Rattus norvegicus: one gene and its partner. The protein of the gene in region 2 interacts with the protein of the main gene of each other region in a pairwise test. Links are inferred from orthologs where the notes say so. Each region holds a gene or a part of one and is shown on either strand. Other genes may lie near its edges.

Region 1 (7,688 bases), on a different chromosome or scaffold from region 2:
AGGAATAAGAAGCAGGTACAGGGGCTGGGGATTTAGCTCAGTGGTAGAGCGCTTACCTAGGAAGCGCAAGGCCCTGGGTTCGGTCCCCAGCTCCGGAAAAAAAAAAAAAAAAAAGAAGCAGGTACAGGTTGGAGGTGGGGACAGAGCAGACATAATTATTATAATTTAATTGGGTATAGTGTGTCACATCTGTAATCCCAGCATTCAAAAGAAGGAGCAGGAAAATCACTGCAAGTCGGAGGCCAGCTGGGGTTACCCTGGGAGACCAGAGCTAAAATGTATGACTGAAAAGAAAGGAATAAAATGAGCTTCCACATCCCTTACCTGAATCCAGATCCCAGATCCCACCAACAGTTTGATACATTTGCTTTATCCTTACTGCTTGCTGGTCCTGTCTGAAGTTTGTATTCAGAAGAAAAATCTTGGGCAAATGAGGTGGCTTATGGGGTAAAGATGCTTGCTGCCTAGCCTAATGTTCCCCAGACTCACATGGTGGGAAAAATACAAAAACTAAAGTCAGGGTTTGAAATGTAAGCACAGTGCCTTAAGAACCTCGACCTGTGGGTATCAACAGAACATTTGCACATTAAGGAACTCCATCTCAAAAAAGAAATGAAAAGAAAAAAAAGCCTGGAAATTGCAGTACAAATGAAGAAGCCAGATTAAGGAACTTTCACACACACACACACACACACACACACACACACACACACACACACACACAAGCACACGTATCAGCACAGAGAACTGTCCTTAACCCAAGTCTAATGTCCACAGGAAGGAAGCCCAGGGTTCTGCTGGGGGTTTGGTCTATGCTCCTCTCAGCCACTGAAGAGCAGTCATAAGATGCACTATTCTTTTTGACTGCCCGCTCTCCCTCCTCAGCAGCAGGACATTCCAGACGCTCTCACCACCCTTCACTCCCTCCCCTTGCCCCTGTCACGAGGCCTCAATCCCCCAGAGTCCTTTCATGTGATGCTCAGCTGAGACCCTTCTAGACCTCTCCCAACCCTGGCACATAAGTCCTGGCTGTATTCACCTGCCCCAGCCCAAGTGCAGAAGGCAGTATGTATCAGTTTGGTCTTGTTGAACACCCTATTCTTTTTTACTCTACATCTCCTACCACTAGCACTTAAGATATTACCCAAAGGATCTCCCTGCTCATGTCACCTCCGTGGAGCCCCTGCTTCAGCTGATTGCTTTAGGAAGCCTCAGAATTAGTGCTGTGCCTTCTGCCCCTTGCATCAAATAGGAATACTTTTATGCTTCACATCTGAAGCTGGGCACAATAGTTTAAGTCTGTAATCCCAGTACTTAGGAAGTAGAAACAAGAGGATCAGGAGTTCGAGTCCATCCTTGGGTATATAATGAATCTGAGGCTAGCCTGGGCTACACTGGACCTGTCTTAAACAAATAAAAAACAAACAAAACTATATTCTCACCAAATCAAATAGAGCCAGCCTGAAATATTTTTACTTGTCTGATTAGAAGGTGGAAATCCAGAGCAGCTAATAGCACTTGCTCCTGACCACACACACTCACCTTCTATAGACCCCAAAGCCAGCAGAGCACCCAGCACAAGCACAGGAAGGAAGCACCTTCTCTGGACACCCATACTGGTCCTCCTTTCAGCAGCCAAAGGTACCAGGGGGTGAGAATGAGCCCCTATATAGAAGGGGATGCTCATTTGCATAGGCCTTCCTCCTCTCCCTCCAGAGGAGGGGAAACCTGGGAAGAAGGAAAGGGCCGGAACTGATTTCATCCCATTGCTCCAATGACAGTGTCTGGTTTCACTGGGTCACATTCACTGACACACACTTATTCTGGAAAGAGTTCGCTGATGGGCAGCCGCAATTCATATACTTCACAGTCACAGTTCAGCAAGGCAGAGTCAAGAGAATTGAGTCAAACCAAAGAGTTCCTTAAGACAGAAACAGCACCTTTATCCAAAAGCAGCCAGAAGGGGCTGGGAGTGTAGATTGCCAGCAATGAAACAACACAAGCAGCCAATGAACCCCGAAACAGTGAGACAGTATTAAGCTAGGCTGAGAAACGACTCTGTTATCTAGCCAAAGAATCCTTTACAATAAGAGTCCCGATTGATTTTCCAGCCTGGCCTACAGAGCGAGTTCCAGGACAGCCAAGATTACACAGAGAAACCTTGTCTGGGAAAAAGAAAAGAAAGAAAAAGGAGGGAAGGAGGGAGGGAGAGAGGGAGGGAGAGGGAGGGAGGGAGGGGAAGAGGGGGAGGGAGAGGGAGGGAGGGAGGGAGAGGGAGAGGGAGAGGGAGAGGGAGAGAGAGAGAGAGAGAGAGAGAGAGAGAGAGAGAGAGAGAGAGAGAGAGATTGAATTCGTGTTCCACATGGCCTCACCCGGGAAACCGAGCCAAACGGATCTCTGTGAGTTTGAAGACAACGTGGACTTTTGAACGCATTCCAGCCAACAAGGGCTGCATTATGAGATGTTTCAGAAAAGCAGGTGGGAGTGCTGGAGAAACGGCACCTCTGTTGAAAGCACAAGCTGCTCTTGCAGAAGACCAGAGTTCGCCCAGGACCTCAGCTCCCGGGGATCTGCTGTTTCCGTGAAAACCTACAGATACGCAAACACACACCTAATTTAAAATACGTATTTTTTTCTTTTAAAGATTCCCAGGTTTAGTTTTTTAAAAGAGACTTTCTTGGCCAGGTGGAATTTAATCTCACCCAAGGGATGGTGAAAATTGTGAGGGAAAGGTAAGAAAAATCCGTAGACCAGAAACAACACCAGTTCTGGCCCGCGGAACCTAAACCAGGAACTAGGGGAAAGTTGCGCCTCGGCCCCTCCGCTCGCCTGCCGGGGGCGGGGCCTCTGAGGCGGGAGCGCGGGGTCCGGTCCGCCCTCGTGACGTGAACCAATCGGAAGGACGGGGGGCGGGGCCAGGGAAACGCGGGAAGGAGGGGCGGGGCCTCGGATGGCAGGCTGGAGCAGTGGGGGAGGCGGCAACATTGTTTCAAGTTGGACAAATTGTCAAGAGCTGAGCTCTGCTTGCGTTCCATCCCGAGCTAGGGCTGCCGTGCTCACCCGGGCCCCCAGGTCCTCCGCTCCGAGTGTCCGGCCCGCTTTCGTCAGGGTTCCCGGGCCCCGCTCCCGGGGGCCTGAGCCGCCTCACTAGCGCTCCATGGAGAACTTCCAAAAGGTGGAGAAGATTGGAGAGGGCACGTACGGAGTGGTGTACAAAGCCAAAAACAAGTTGACGGGAGAAGTTGTGGCGCTTAAGAAAATCCGGCTCGACACGTGAGTGGCCTCCGAAGCCGGAACTCCTTTGCCCGGACCTCTTGGCTGCCCCCCCCCCCAACCCCTTACCCAAACAGGCGGGTAGCCTCCCGGGACCGGAAGGTGGCGGGGAGGGACTCCTGAAGCGAGCGGTGGGTTGGCGGACGGTGGACGCTCTCCCGGAGGAGACTGTCCGGGGCTAGAATTCAGGGGAAAGTTTCTTGTCGTGCTCCTCCCGGTGTGCTCCCAGATCTGCAAGCCGAGAGACTTGGGAAGAGAAAGTGGGAGGTGGGAGCTGAGGTAGGATCCAGGGCTGTTCATGGAGTTGGGTTATGTGGGAACCAGAGAAAAGCTCCTTTCTGAGTGGAGAGCTCTTCTCACTACTCCAGCACCATACTTAGAACCCTCACCCTCTTTCAAAAGAATGGCAGTTGAGATTCACTGGTTCTCTGGGGAGGCTGGGAGCTACTCTCAACCCCCTCCGCTATTACCTTTCCTCTGCTTTTTATTCACCTGGAGGCTTCCCTTATCTTCCACTGGAAAAAGAGGAAATAATGACCTTGAATATTGTCTAAAAGCCACACCCTGACTACCCAGGAATTAACCCCTGACAACACCTTTCCTTTCTGACTTCCTAATGGGTTTGGGGGTTGTGTATCCCTGAAAGAATAATGTTTGTAACCGTCTTCCCGCCTCTGTTTCCCCAACCTCTCCAAGTGAGACTGAAGGTGTGCCCAGTACTGCCATCCGAGAGATCTCCCTCCTTAAGGAGCTCAATCACCCTAACATCGTCAAGTAAGTCTACTCTGAGGGATGATCCCCAAGATGAATTCTGTTTGCTTGGCCTCACAATTTCTCTCCCTCAACTCTGGTTCCTGGAACTTCCCTTGCAGGCTGCTGGATGTCATCCACACAGAAAATAAGCTTTATCTGGTGTTTGAATTCCTGCACCAGGACCTCAAGAAGTTTATGGATGCTTCTGCTCTCACTGGCATTCCTCTTCCCCTCATCAAGGTAATCCTGCTCAAGTCTAGCCTACACGCTTTAGGGGAAACTAGAAGCAGGTAATTCGGACTAGTAATGATTTATTTTGGCTTTTTTTCCCCTCAGACTTCTGACTTTAACACACTCCCCCCTTTCCTGTCATTAGTCATTAACCCTAGAATGGACAGAAGAATCCAAATTGAGCTCCTGTGAACCAACCAAGGCAGCTCAGGCAGGAAGGAGATCAGATAACACTCAGATACAGGAGATTGAGGGTAGATGAGTTCCTTGAAATAAATTCTCCCACCTGTGGTGTGGGAAAAACTAATCAGTGAGTCTCTGTGGTCTGTTTTCAAGCTAGGCTGGATCCTGGAAGCACTTTGAATGTATCAGCAAGTACCTACTCAACACATAGTCACTTAACACCTTCAGTGTTGCTAGACACGGGGGTTGAAAAAAGGGATGCAAAAGTTGAGTAGTATCTGGTCTATATCCTTGCCAGGCTGAAAATTCAGTGAAAGACATCGCTATTAAAGGTGTGGTTATGCTGTAGTTGTGTGTGTTGGTTTGTGTCTGTAATCCTAACACTTGGGAGGCTGAGGCAGTAGGATGTAAGTACAAGGGCAGCCAAGCTACAAAGTTCCAGGCCAGAAAGACAGTATCTTTAAAAACAAGCAGGACTGACAAGATAGCTCAGTGGTGAAAGCGCCTGCCTCCAAGCCTAATGACTTGACGGCCTGAACTCCATCCCTAGGTCCCACACAAGAAGAAAAGGAGCTCCTGCAAGTTGTCCTCTGACTTCTACACATGCACTGTGGCATGCCCCTGCCCCCATAAATAAACAAACAAATAAAATGTAACTAAAGAATTAAAGAACCCCTCCCCAAGTATATGGTATAGTTCTTGTGCAGCATATTGAATTTTTTTTAAAGATTTATTTATTTATTATATATAAGTATACTGTCGCTGTCTTCAGACACACCAGAAGAGGGCATCAGATCTCATTACAGATGCTTGTGAGCCACCATATGGTTGCTGGGATTTGAACTCAGGACCTCTGGAAGATCAACCAGTGCTCTTAGCTCCTGAGCCATCTCTCCAGCCCAGCATATTGAATTTTGAGGATAAAGAATAAGTCATATCTGTTTGATGAAACAAACCTCCCTCTCTCCTTTGTCAGAGCTATCTGTTCCAGCTGCTCCAGGGCCTAGCATTCTGCCATTCTCACCGTGTCCTGCACCGAGACCTTAAGCCCCAGAACCTGCTTATCAACGCAGAGGGGTCCATCAAGCTGGCTGACTTTGGACTAGCAAGAGCCTTTGGAGTCCCTGTCCGTACTTACACTCATGAGGTAAGTCCCTTTATGGTTTTCCTTAAGGATCTTGGGAGATGGGGCTGGAGAGATGGCTTAGTGGTTAGGAGCACTGACTGCTCTTTCAGAGGTCCTGAGTTCGATTCCCAGCAACCACATGGTGGCTCACAACCATCTGTAATGAGATCCGATGCCCTCTTCTGGTGTGTCTGAACAGAGTACTCATATACATTAAATAAATAAATTTTTTTTTAAAAAAAGGATCTTGGGAGATGTTCGTAAGAGCATTTGGAAATTACCAAAATTTGGGGCAAGAGTTCTTTGGTGAATGGAATCTCTGACAACCCAAGGGCCTTTAATTATTTATGTAAAGTGTATGAGTGTTTTGCTTGCACATGTATCTGTACCATATGCCTGCCTGGTGCTCACAGAAGTCAGAAGAAAGTGTCTGATACCCTGGAACTGCAGTCACAGATTGTAGTGATCTGGGAATTGAACCTGGGTCCTCTGTAAGAACTACAAGCGCTCTTTTTTTTTTTTTCCGGAGCTGGGGACTGAACCCAGGGCCACTTGCTAGGCAAGCGCTCTACCACCGAGCTAAATCCCCAACCCCCTTATTTATTTACTTAATGTACTACTGTAGCTGTCTTCAGACACACCCAATCCCATTACAGATGGTTGTGAGCCACCATGTGGTTGCTGGGAATTGAACTCAGGACCTCTGGAAGAGCAGTCAGTGCTCTTAACGCTGAGCCATCTCTCCAGCCCACAACAAGCGCTCTTAACTGCCAAGTCATTGCTCTAACTTTTACCAACAGGGTCTTAAGATATGCACTGAATTCATATTACAAAGTTGCCTCGACTTGGATACTAGGCCAGGAAAACGGGTTGCTATATCATTTAAATATCTCAGATTTTCTAGGAAGGTCCCAAATCTGGGGATTTAGAATACATTACTGGATAGACAGATGGCTCGACAGTTAGGGGCGTGTAATATTCTTGTAGATGACCTGTATTCAGTTCCCAGAGCCCATGACTGGCAGTTTGCAGCCACCCTCAACTCCACCTCCAAGGCATCAGACACTTTGTTCTGGCTTCTAAGGGCACTGCATAGTTGTGGAAACCTACATAGACCTGCATGTATTCACATTATTGAAATTTAAAAAAACAGTGAAATCATTTTAAAAGAAGCTGGAAGGTTGTGTTGAACTGAGGTATGTGGCCCTCCCTCCCTTGTAAGCCCTGCTGTCGTCTTGTTCCCCAGGTGGTGACCCTCTGGTACCGAGCACCGGAGATTCTTCTGGGCTGCAAGTACTACTCCACAGCCGTGGACATCTGGAGCCTGGGCTGCATCTTTGCCGAAATGGTACGGAGGCTTGCCAGGCTCTCTACAGCCCACCCATACCCACATCCAAGAGCAAAGCCCATCTTCTTGCCAGGAACCACAGTGCTTTTATTCAGGGTTCTCTCACCTGTCACCACTCTAGAGGTGGTTGCCCTGATACCAACTACAATTTTGGAATATCCCTACACAGATTTAGTTAACTAGTATCTATCTCTTATTTCCCAAGTGAGCGCAGACCACTCTGTGCCCATTCAGCTATTTTGTTTTGGTTGCTCTGTTTTGAGATCGTCTCACTCTGTAGCCCAGACTGGCTTTGTATTCTTGATCGTGTGCTTGGGCTCCACTTTCCACTGTTACCATCTAGCCCATGAGATTGACTTGACAGGCGTGAGCCACCCCGCTGGCTCTACTCATACAGCTGTTTCGGCTTTAATCCTCAAATATTTGGAAGAATGAATTCCATTGAGTACAACAGGTGGCCCACAGTCCACATGCTTCCGATGATAGCTGTGGATGTGGCCTCAACACAAAATCATAAACTTCAACAGAGTGGATTTTTGTTTTGTTGGTGGTAGGGGTTTTTGTGCTTTTGTTGTCGTTGTTGCTGTTGCTTTTGGCTGGATTGGGGTTTGTTTGTTGGTTTTTTTTTGTTTTGTTTTGTTGGTTTATTTTTGGTTTTGGAGTTTTTTGGTTTTGTGTGTGTCTATGTGTCTGTGTGTTTTGGTAGCCCTGGCTGTCCTGGAACTTACTCTGTAGACCAGGCTGGCCTCAAACTCAAAGATCTGCCTGCCTCTG
Region 2 (7,582 bases):
GCAGCCTCACCTAGGGAACCAGACAGGGCAGTGATTACTAAAGGCTGCATTCCAGGTATCACCCAGGATACCTTCTGCTACCTTGCTCCGTCCGACTCTTCAGCCCCCCCCCCCCCCAGATGAAATCCCATCTCCCCCAACCAGTCCGGGAATGCCTGGCTAGTTCAAACACATCTCTCAGGTACCCCCAATAAGCTCCCTGTCAGGCCTCAGAAGATACTCACTGGCAAAGACCGGAAGCGTTTTATGGTAAATTGCTCACTGCAAAACAAAACAAAACAAAACAAAAACAAAAACAAAAAAAAAACAGTTCAGAGCTGTGAAATCAGAGGCCAGTGACTCAAAGCAGGCAGGATTCCCTTGCACCCATGACATCCACACCACACAAGACAGCAGGAGGTGGGTAAGGAAGGAAGGGAAGACTCACTTTTGAATGACCCGACTGGCTGCCTGAATGGCCTGTTCAAACCTAGGAGAGAGCAGAAATGACCCATTTTCCCAGTAGCCCAACATCTACCCCAAGCCTCAGGCCCAAGCCTGGCTCATGCCCATAGGGCCAGCAACAAGGGCAAGGATGAGGGCCTGTGGTCAGGCTCTAGGAGGGGAGAGTAGAAAATAGTGCACTGTTGGTGGGACCAGGGACCAAGGAGGAAGGGTTTGAGGCAGCCTGGAATTGTAAAGGCTGCTGTGAATGAAAAGCAGGCCCAGAGAAAGGCAGTGATGGAGACAGCTGGGGCAGGTCACAGGGTCATTAAGACATCACCAAGGCAACAGTCTCGCCAGCCTGCACACACAAGCACAGGCCTTCCACCTGTATGCAAATTACATTACTGGGGCCATATGGCCACCATGAAAGGCATTGATCCATCCCAGACAACAGGCTGAAGGTACCCTGTAATATAGGTGACCCTGGGGGTGGATGCCAGCAATGCTGGGTTTCCCTTTCTGCTAGCCACTGGCCTGGCTCCCTGGACAGGGGCTGCTTTGGTGATTTTTCTGGATCAGCCCAGCAGACCCTTTAGTGACAAGTATACAGGGTTACATTCTCTCCTCCCTCCTATGGAATTTTCTAAGACCCAACCTCTGTTCCACCCCCTCCTTCTGTCTTAGAAGAGGCCAGCCAGCAAGGAATTCCAACAGATGCTCCATTTGAGGCTGAAGCGTCAACTTCTACATACAGGCCCTGCCTTCCAATGTTGCTGGAGCACCTGTCATGTGGAGCTTAACACACACACACACACACACACACACACACACACACACACACACACACGTACACCCCAGCTTCTTTCTGAGAAGCTGTAAATAGTCAAAAGTAAGTGCAGACTAACTGGAGAGGCACTTAGTGTCCAAGTGACCCTCAGAGAGGCCTGTGTGCAATCAACCTGGCATCATTTGTAGCTGGGCCTCAGGGGTGAGGGATCTATCTGTGTTGTCGCTAAAAAACAACGTACACTCCTCCCATCCCCACCCAACTCTCGATTTCCTGTTTGTGAATAAACCTTGAGACCAGCACAGTCTGATCAAAGACATCAGGGGGAAATAGTAACCCCCGCCCTAAACCAAAAGCTGTGACTGGCAATGCCCAGCTGTTCCTCCTAATGACTGACAGCTACTCCACAGCTGGATGGGAACAGGTGTGCTCTACAAGGCTCTATTGTGCCACAGCCAAGGAGGAGGAGTCTGCTCACAGCAAAGACCAGCTTTCTCCTCTCCATTCCCTGTTGCAAAGGGTCTGGTCAAGGGTCAGCCAAAAGCACCAAGTGTCAGGGAAAACTGGGAGCTGCTGATGAGCCAGGCCAGTCTGCAAATGCAATTTTTGTTTGGCCTCGGTTGGCCTTGAACTGCCTATCTTTCTGTCTGATCTTCCAGAGTGTTGGGCCACCACACCCAACAGGACCATATTTTTTTTCTTTTTTTTTTGGAGCTGGGGACCGAACTCAGGGCCTTGCGCTTGCTAGGCGAGCGCTCTACCACTGAGCTAAATCCCCAACCCCAGGACCATATTTTTAAGTTTGAAAAAAATGTTACATGTACAAAAAAATGTATACAGGAGAAAAAGAAAAGTGGGAACATGAGGGGCATTGTTTTTCTGAATGACAATGTTAGCTGGACTAATATTGGAGTATACTTTCCCAGAGGCCATTGTTCCTGTGACCTGTGGTCCTGAGCCCACGTTCCTCTGGTTTCTATGGTATCAGGCCTTCTCTGAATAAGGAGCCAATTCTTAAGACTTAGGAAGAAACCAACCCCTCGCAATGGGGATCCTGAGGAACCTGCCTATTATTTGGTTTCCCTTTCTTAAGCAGGATACTGGGGGCTGGAGAGATGGCTCAGTGACGAAGAGTATTTGTTATTCTTGCAGAGGACCTGAGTTCAGTACCCAGCACCCACATATGGCAACTCACGACAGCCTGGAATTCTAGCTCTAAGTGTTCCAAGGCCCTCTCTGACCGCTATAGGACAACACGCTTACACGCACATATCCCCATGTAGAAAACCATATAACACATAATTAAAAACACATTAAAGAAAGATCAGTCCTCAAGGGCAGGTGCCAAGTCCTCAGTGGAAGGACTCCTCCCCCTCTACTCACGTGCGCTCTGCTGTCTGTGGGTCCATAGGGCTAGGGGAGTCCATGCAGAGACCTGGTGGGACAGAGCACCTTGGCTTGCAGGTAGCAGCCTTTCCTGCTTACTTTTTCCCCAAGAAAGGGAAAAGAAACCTCTTTCTCTTTGAGATCAAGGCATACTTTAATGGGACACTGCCCCCATAGGACGAGGGGCTACATTCTCTATTTACTATGGGAAACGTATCTGCACTTTTTTGTTTTATTTATTTATTTTTTAGTGCTTTCTAAGCATTTTTCTTAAGCTGGTTTAAAACAACTTGGAAAAGATAATGGTTTTCTAAGGAGAAAAGGCTACAGCTTAAGAGAATGCTTCACAAGGACAGGCTTTTGGTACCAAGTGCTGTCTGGGTGGAGCTGTAGTTCAGTGGCTTTACCGCTAGGTTTCAAATAAGTAAGATACCATCTCCTACCAAGAGTCGTCCTTCCCCAGACTCCCAGTTTAGGCTGGGTGTGGTAAGACCCACCAGAGGTTTGTTTGCTTCATAGTTTTGAAGGCAAGCTGGGGGATGATTCTGTGGAAAGGACCGGGATCTATCTCATGGGCAGAGAATTTAGAAGGTCCAGAAAGTTCCCTGATCTCTTTTGGTGGTGGTGGTGGTGGTGGTGGTGGTGTGTGTACCCCCACTACGGGCCCTGGGCCTTACCTGCATCAGAAGATTCTGAGGACTCAGATGACAGGGAGCACTCAGAGGTACGTCTGGACAGGGACAGGTCTGTCAGCCTGTTCTGGAACGACAGGCTTCCTACTTGAGTTTTTGGGGTCTCGCTAGGAAAGGAGAAAGAGGCACAGAGGAGGAGAAAAAGAAATTAATGTTGGATTTGGAAGCTGGTCAGCCCATGCTCCCATGAATTCCCCAACTATGAAGGGCCCATCTATCTGTCACTGAGAGGTGATCCTAGAACTAGCCTGTATCTCAAGTCAAAGCATTTCATTCTACTGAGGCCCGAGAGGGTCTTCTCTGCGTTGACTGGTTCAGGAAAGACCCTTCTAAGTGTCTGGAAGAGTGAGAAGGATGGGCAGGAGACAGCCCAGAAGCTCTGGAGAACCTTCTCCTGCTGGGCACATCCTCACCTCGCCAGCATTTCCCAGGAGGCAAAGGCTAAGCAAGACCCGGCTCTCTGCTGCAGCTGGACCGACCACCCAGCTGGGACCCCACAGGTTAAGGAGGTGGCCCGTCTTTTTTCAGTTTAAGCCTTAGGGGAGTAGGTGAGATATTTTCAAAGAGCAGGGCGCAGCCTTTTAAGACCCACTTCTAGGCCAACCTCATGATCCTCTGCCTAAGAACAGTGTGCAGGAGGCACAATGAAGGAGCAGTGAGGTAAATGATCCTTAGACGGCCAGTCATCTGGAGGGTGTAAGTCGCATAGCTTCTGACTCAGCACACTGGTCCCATGTCACTGAAACAAGGCTAAAGGCGTCGGTGTGCTGCACTCCGTGGCTCTGGTGCCTAGTGTCTCCTGGTCCCGGCCTCCCATCCCACCACACCCAGTGCCCTTGGGGCATCCTACCTGCCGAGCCCTGCGAGGTTGTACATGGTCTGGGTAAGAGTGGTAACCGGAGAGGAGGAAGCCGCACGCTCTGGAGACCCCAGCAAGCCATCAGACCCAAACCCAAAGCCTGAGAGGTGGCGCGGCCGCTGAATGCCACCCAGCACGCGGGCAGTACTGAGAGCTGAGCCCGGCGCAGACTTCTGCGGGGGTACCTCCATGGTGGCGGGGCGGGCAAAGGCTAGCTAGAGGGCCACAAGTACAGCGGCCAGCAGACGCCGACCCAGATGGCTAGGCTCCGAGAGTGAGCCTGGGGTAAGGGGAAGGAGGGAGGGGAGGGAGGGAGGAAGAGCAGTGGGCCTGGGAGTGAGGAGAGGGATGTGGGGAGGAAGGGAGGGGAAGACGCGAGCTGGGCAGCTGCCACCTCCACCTCCTTATATATTCGAAAAATAACAGCGGCAGCGCCGCCAGACGCCACCAATGGGGGCGCCGGTTCCGGGAGGGCGGGACCAAGGGCGGGGCGCTGGTGGCTTGGGCTGAGGCTGGACCAGCTACTTCTGCCGGCTTGGCTTCTTAGGGTGGGTGACTCAGGGAGTTGGGTTAACCCCCTGTTCCACACATACCCTCCGCTCCCTTTGACACGAGAATCCTGGTCTCCAGGATATTGCCTCATGGGACAGGGTTTGGAGGTACATAACCTCAGAAGGAGTAGCCATCACTTAGGGTGGCCTCGTAAGGAGCCCTCGACGTTTACCATCAGTGCACGGTCACCGGTAAGGGTCGGTGCTACACTCTGCTTGAGCCTAGGACGTTTGCCAAGTTTGCTGTGAGCTCTGCGTTCCCTGTCCGGTTTACAGACCGAGCGTTGAAAAGTTCCGTGACTCGTTTAAGGTCACGGGTTTGGTTGAATGGCGGAGACGAAGATGCACCCTCCCGGGCTCCTCTGATCCTGCAGCCTCCCTGTCAACGCCCCTAGGCCGCAGAGAGCAGCTGCAGTCATTCAACCGCGGCGCTTTGCGAGGCACAGAGGAACTGCCTCACTGAGCTAAGCCCAATAGTCTCCCCTATAACCCCTGAGAATTAAACGTTTAGATTTACGCAATGATTTCTGCAGCAGGCAGTTGGGAGCAGCCAGAGAACCCAGTAAGGGAAGAATCTCACACCCACTATGGCTTGGCTAATTTGGGGTTAATAGCACCATAGTGTTTCTTTGAAAGTAAAAGAGGCTGAATTTGCTATTAGTTTACAATGAGCGTTTTCTAACGATCTAATCACCTTGCAGGCGAGAGTCTGTTTTCCTGGAATGAGCTGGGAAGGACCTAGTAAGTAGTTGGGAACTTTTTCAAATTCCCCAGTGAGGGTGTGGCTTCTGGGACGGTCATGGGGTGCAGTATAGGATCTAGGAGCTGAGAGCAGCCTTGAACACCTGCCTTTGCTATTTTAACCACCACCCTAGGCCCACCAGGTAAGAATGGCAAAGGGGTAACTAAGGGTAGGGATAGAGTCTAAGAGGTTCAGCTGTGAATAAAGGAGGACACTAGACACACCTGAGTGGAGTGCCCGAGGTAGGAACCACGACCTGACCACTTTTTTCTTTCAACATTTTGCCCAGTTCCTGTGGTATGTCAGGAACTTATATACTGCTACTGGGGACCCATTTCTTATTCCAGTCATAAGTCAAGACCTTAGTGCCAGGACCAGGAGAGAAATGTGTCCCCACATGGCCTTCCATTCCAAAGACCTGAAATAAAATTGCTCCAAGGAGTATATTTTCAAAACCAACATAGCTGGTTTCCCTCAACCTGCATCTCAGCTCACACACTGTTTGGGGTGAGGAGGAGCCATGCTGTGTTGAGTTTTGATCACTTGAATCTCATGAAGTTCCACAACTGAAAGGTTCTCCTTGTCCCAGTGGAGGAGAGAGATGTCCTTTCCACGGCAACTGACACCCACTCACACCCTCCTGAACCTCACTTTTCCACTTAGATCATAAAATACATACTCAACTAAAACAACAAATTGCTCTTAGAGATTGAAGGCCACCCAGAGACTGTCCCACCTGGAGATCCATCCCATCTGCAGACACCAAACCCAGACACTACTGCTGATGCCGAGAAGTGCTTGCTGACAGCCTGATACAGTTATTTTCTGAGAGGCTCTACCAGATCCTGACCAATACAGATGCTGATGCTCAAAGCCAACCATTGGACTGATCACAGGGACCCCAATAGAGGAGTTAGGGGAAGGACGAAGGAGCGAAAGGGGCCTTATCTGGCATCAATGGGAGGGGTGGCTTGGGTCCTATGAAGGCTTGATGTTCCAGTGTAGAGGAATGCTAAGGCAGTGAGGTGGGAGTGGAAGGGTAGGTGAGTGGGAGGAGCACCCTCATAGAAGCAGGGGTAGGGGGGTATGATAGGGGGTTTACACAGGGGAAACTGGGAAAGGGGATAATCTTTGAAATGTAAATAAATAAAATATCCAATTAAAAATTTGCTCTTTTTTGAGATTAGGAAGAGGAGTGCTATATTATGTAAACCTGGCTGGCTTCTGACTCTGTGTGTAGAGCAAGCTGGCTTCAACTTTATGGTGACTGGGCTGTTTTTGATTCCTGAGTGTTGGGAATTTCAGGCATGGAGTGCCACTGCCCGCAGGTTAAAAATCTCACGGTGCAGCCCGCAGAGTTTTATGTCACAGGCGCTTTGCCTGTGTGTGCACCATTTGCCTGCTTGGTGCCTGTGCAGGACAGAAGAGGACTTCAGATCCCCTGAAACAGAGGGTTGTGAGCTGCAATGTGGGTGCTGGGAGTCAAACCTGGGTCCTCTACAAGAGCAGGCAGTGTTATTAACCTAGAGCCATCTCTCCAGGGCCTTTTTAGGAACGGTGTTTCCTCTACTAGTCCCCCAACACACACCTTTTTTTTTTTTTCCATAGGTGTGACATGTTAAATTTTTGTGCCACTAAAACCTCAAAGAACAACATCTTATGATACAAAAGACAGCCCCACCCCTAAATCTTCAGAAACAGCACTGTGAGAAATTTCTTGTATCACCTCCTGAAGATGATTCATATTTAGCCAAAGGAAGCATGGTGGCAGACGCGCATGGCGGCCACAAACAGAATTAAAGATTCCTTAGTAGCCACGTTCAAAAAGCAAAAGGGAAGCTAACCTCAGTCCTGTACTCTGTCAACTTACGGAGGAGGAGTGAGGAAAGAGGATCAGTGACAGTTTGAGGCCAGCCTAGGCTGTAGAGTGAGAGCCTGTCACAAACAAACAACCCCAAAGTACTACCAACAAAAATAGAAAAGGGTCTGAGGTGTGTCTCAGGGGCAGACCATTTGCCTAGCATATGCAAAGGCCTGGTTTCTGGCATCTGCTCATAACACAGCAAAAATATAAATAAATGCGGTAAGGATAGTAAGTTTTATATTTTAATTTTAGTATTGTATTTAATCTAATATACT

Evidence for each region. The genes of interacting proteins can lie anywhere in the genome.
Region 1: the proteins of Cdc25b (region 2) and Cdk2 interact in a two-hybrid assay, tested with the Homo sapiens proteins (2 studies listed by BioGRID and IntAct). The link is inferred for Rattus norvegicus from reciprocal best matches to the Homo sapiens genes CDC25B and CDK2.

Annotation. Positions count from the first base shown.
Region 1 is NC_086025.1:1,717,198-1,724,885, reverse strand, and holds the start of Cdk2 (cyclin-dependent kinase 2), read left to right. Parts: upstream 1-3,007; 5' UTR 3,008-3,157; coding exon 3,158-3,273; intron 3,274-3,335; exon of another isoform or gene 3,336-3,552; intron 3,553-3,969; coding exon 3,970-4,047; intron 4,048-4,145; coding exon 4,146-4,266; intron 4,267-5,416; coding exon 5,417-5,587; intron 5,588-6,812; coding exon 6,813-6,914; intron 6,915-7,688. Other genes in the region: melanocyte protein Pmel 17 precursor, read right to left, coding at 1,543-1,615. UniProt on the Homo sapiens protein: Serine/threonine-protein kinase involved in the control of the cell cycle; essential for meiosis, but dispensable for mitosis. Phosphorylates CABLES1, CTNNB1, CDK2AP2, ERCC6, NBN, USP37, p53/TP53, NPM1, CDK7, RB1, BRCA2, MYC, NPAT, EZH2.
Region 2 is NC_086021.1:138,857,122-138,864,703, reverse strand, and holds the start of Cdc25b (M-phase inducer phosphatase 2), read right to left. Parts: upstream 4,532-7,582; 5' UTR 4,342-4,531; coding exon 4,142-4,341; intron 3,399-4,141; coding exon 3,277-3,398; intron 2,649-3,276; coding exon 2,597-2,648; intron 470-2,596; coding exon 428-469; intron 262-427; coding exon 225-261; intron 11-224; coding exon 1-10. UniProt on the Homo sapiens protein: Tyrosine protein phosphatase which functions as a dosage-dependent inducer of mitotic progression. Directly dephosphorylates CDK1 and stimulates its kinase activity.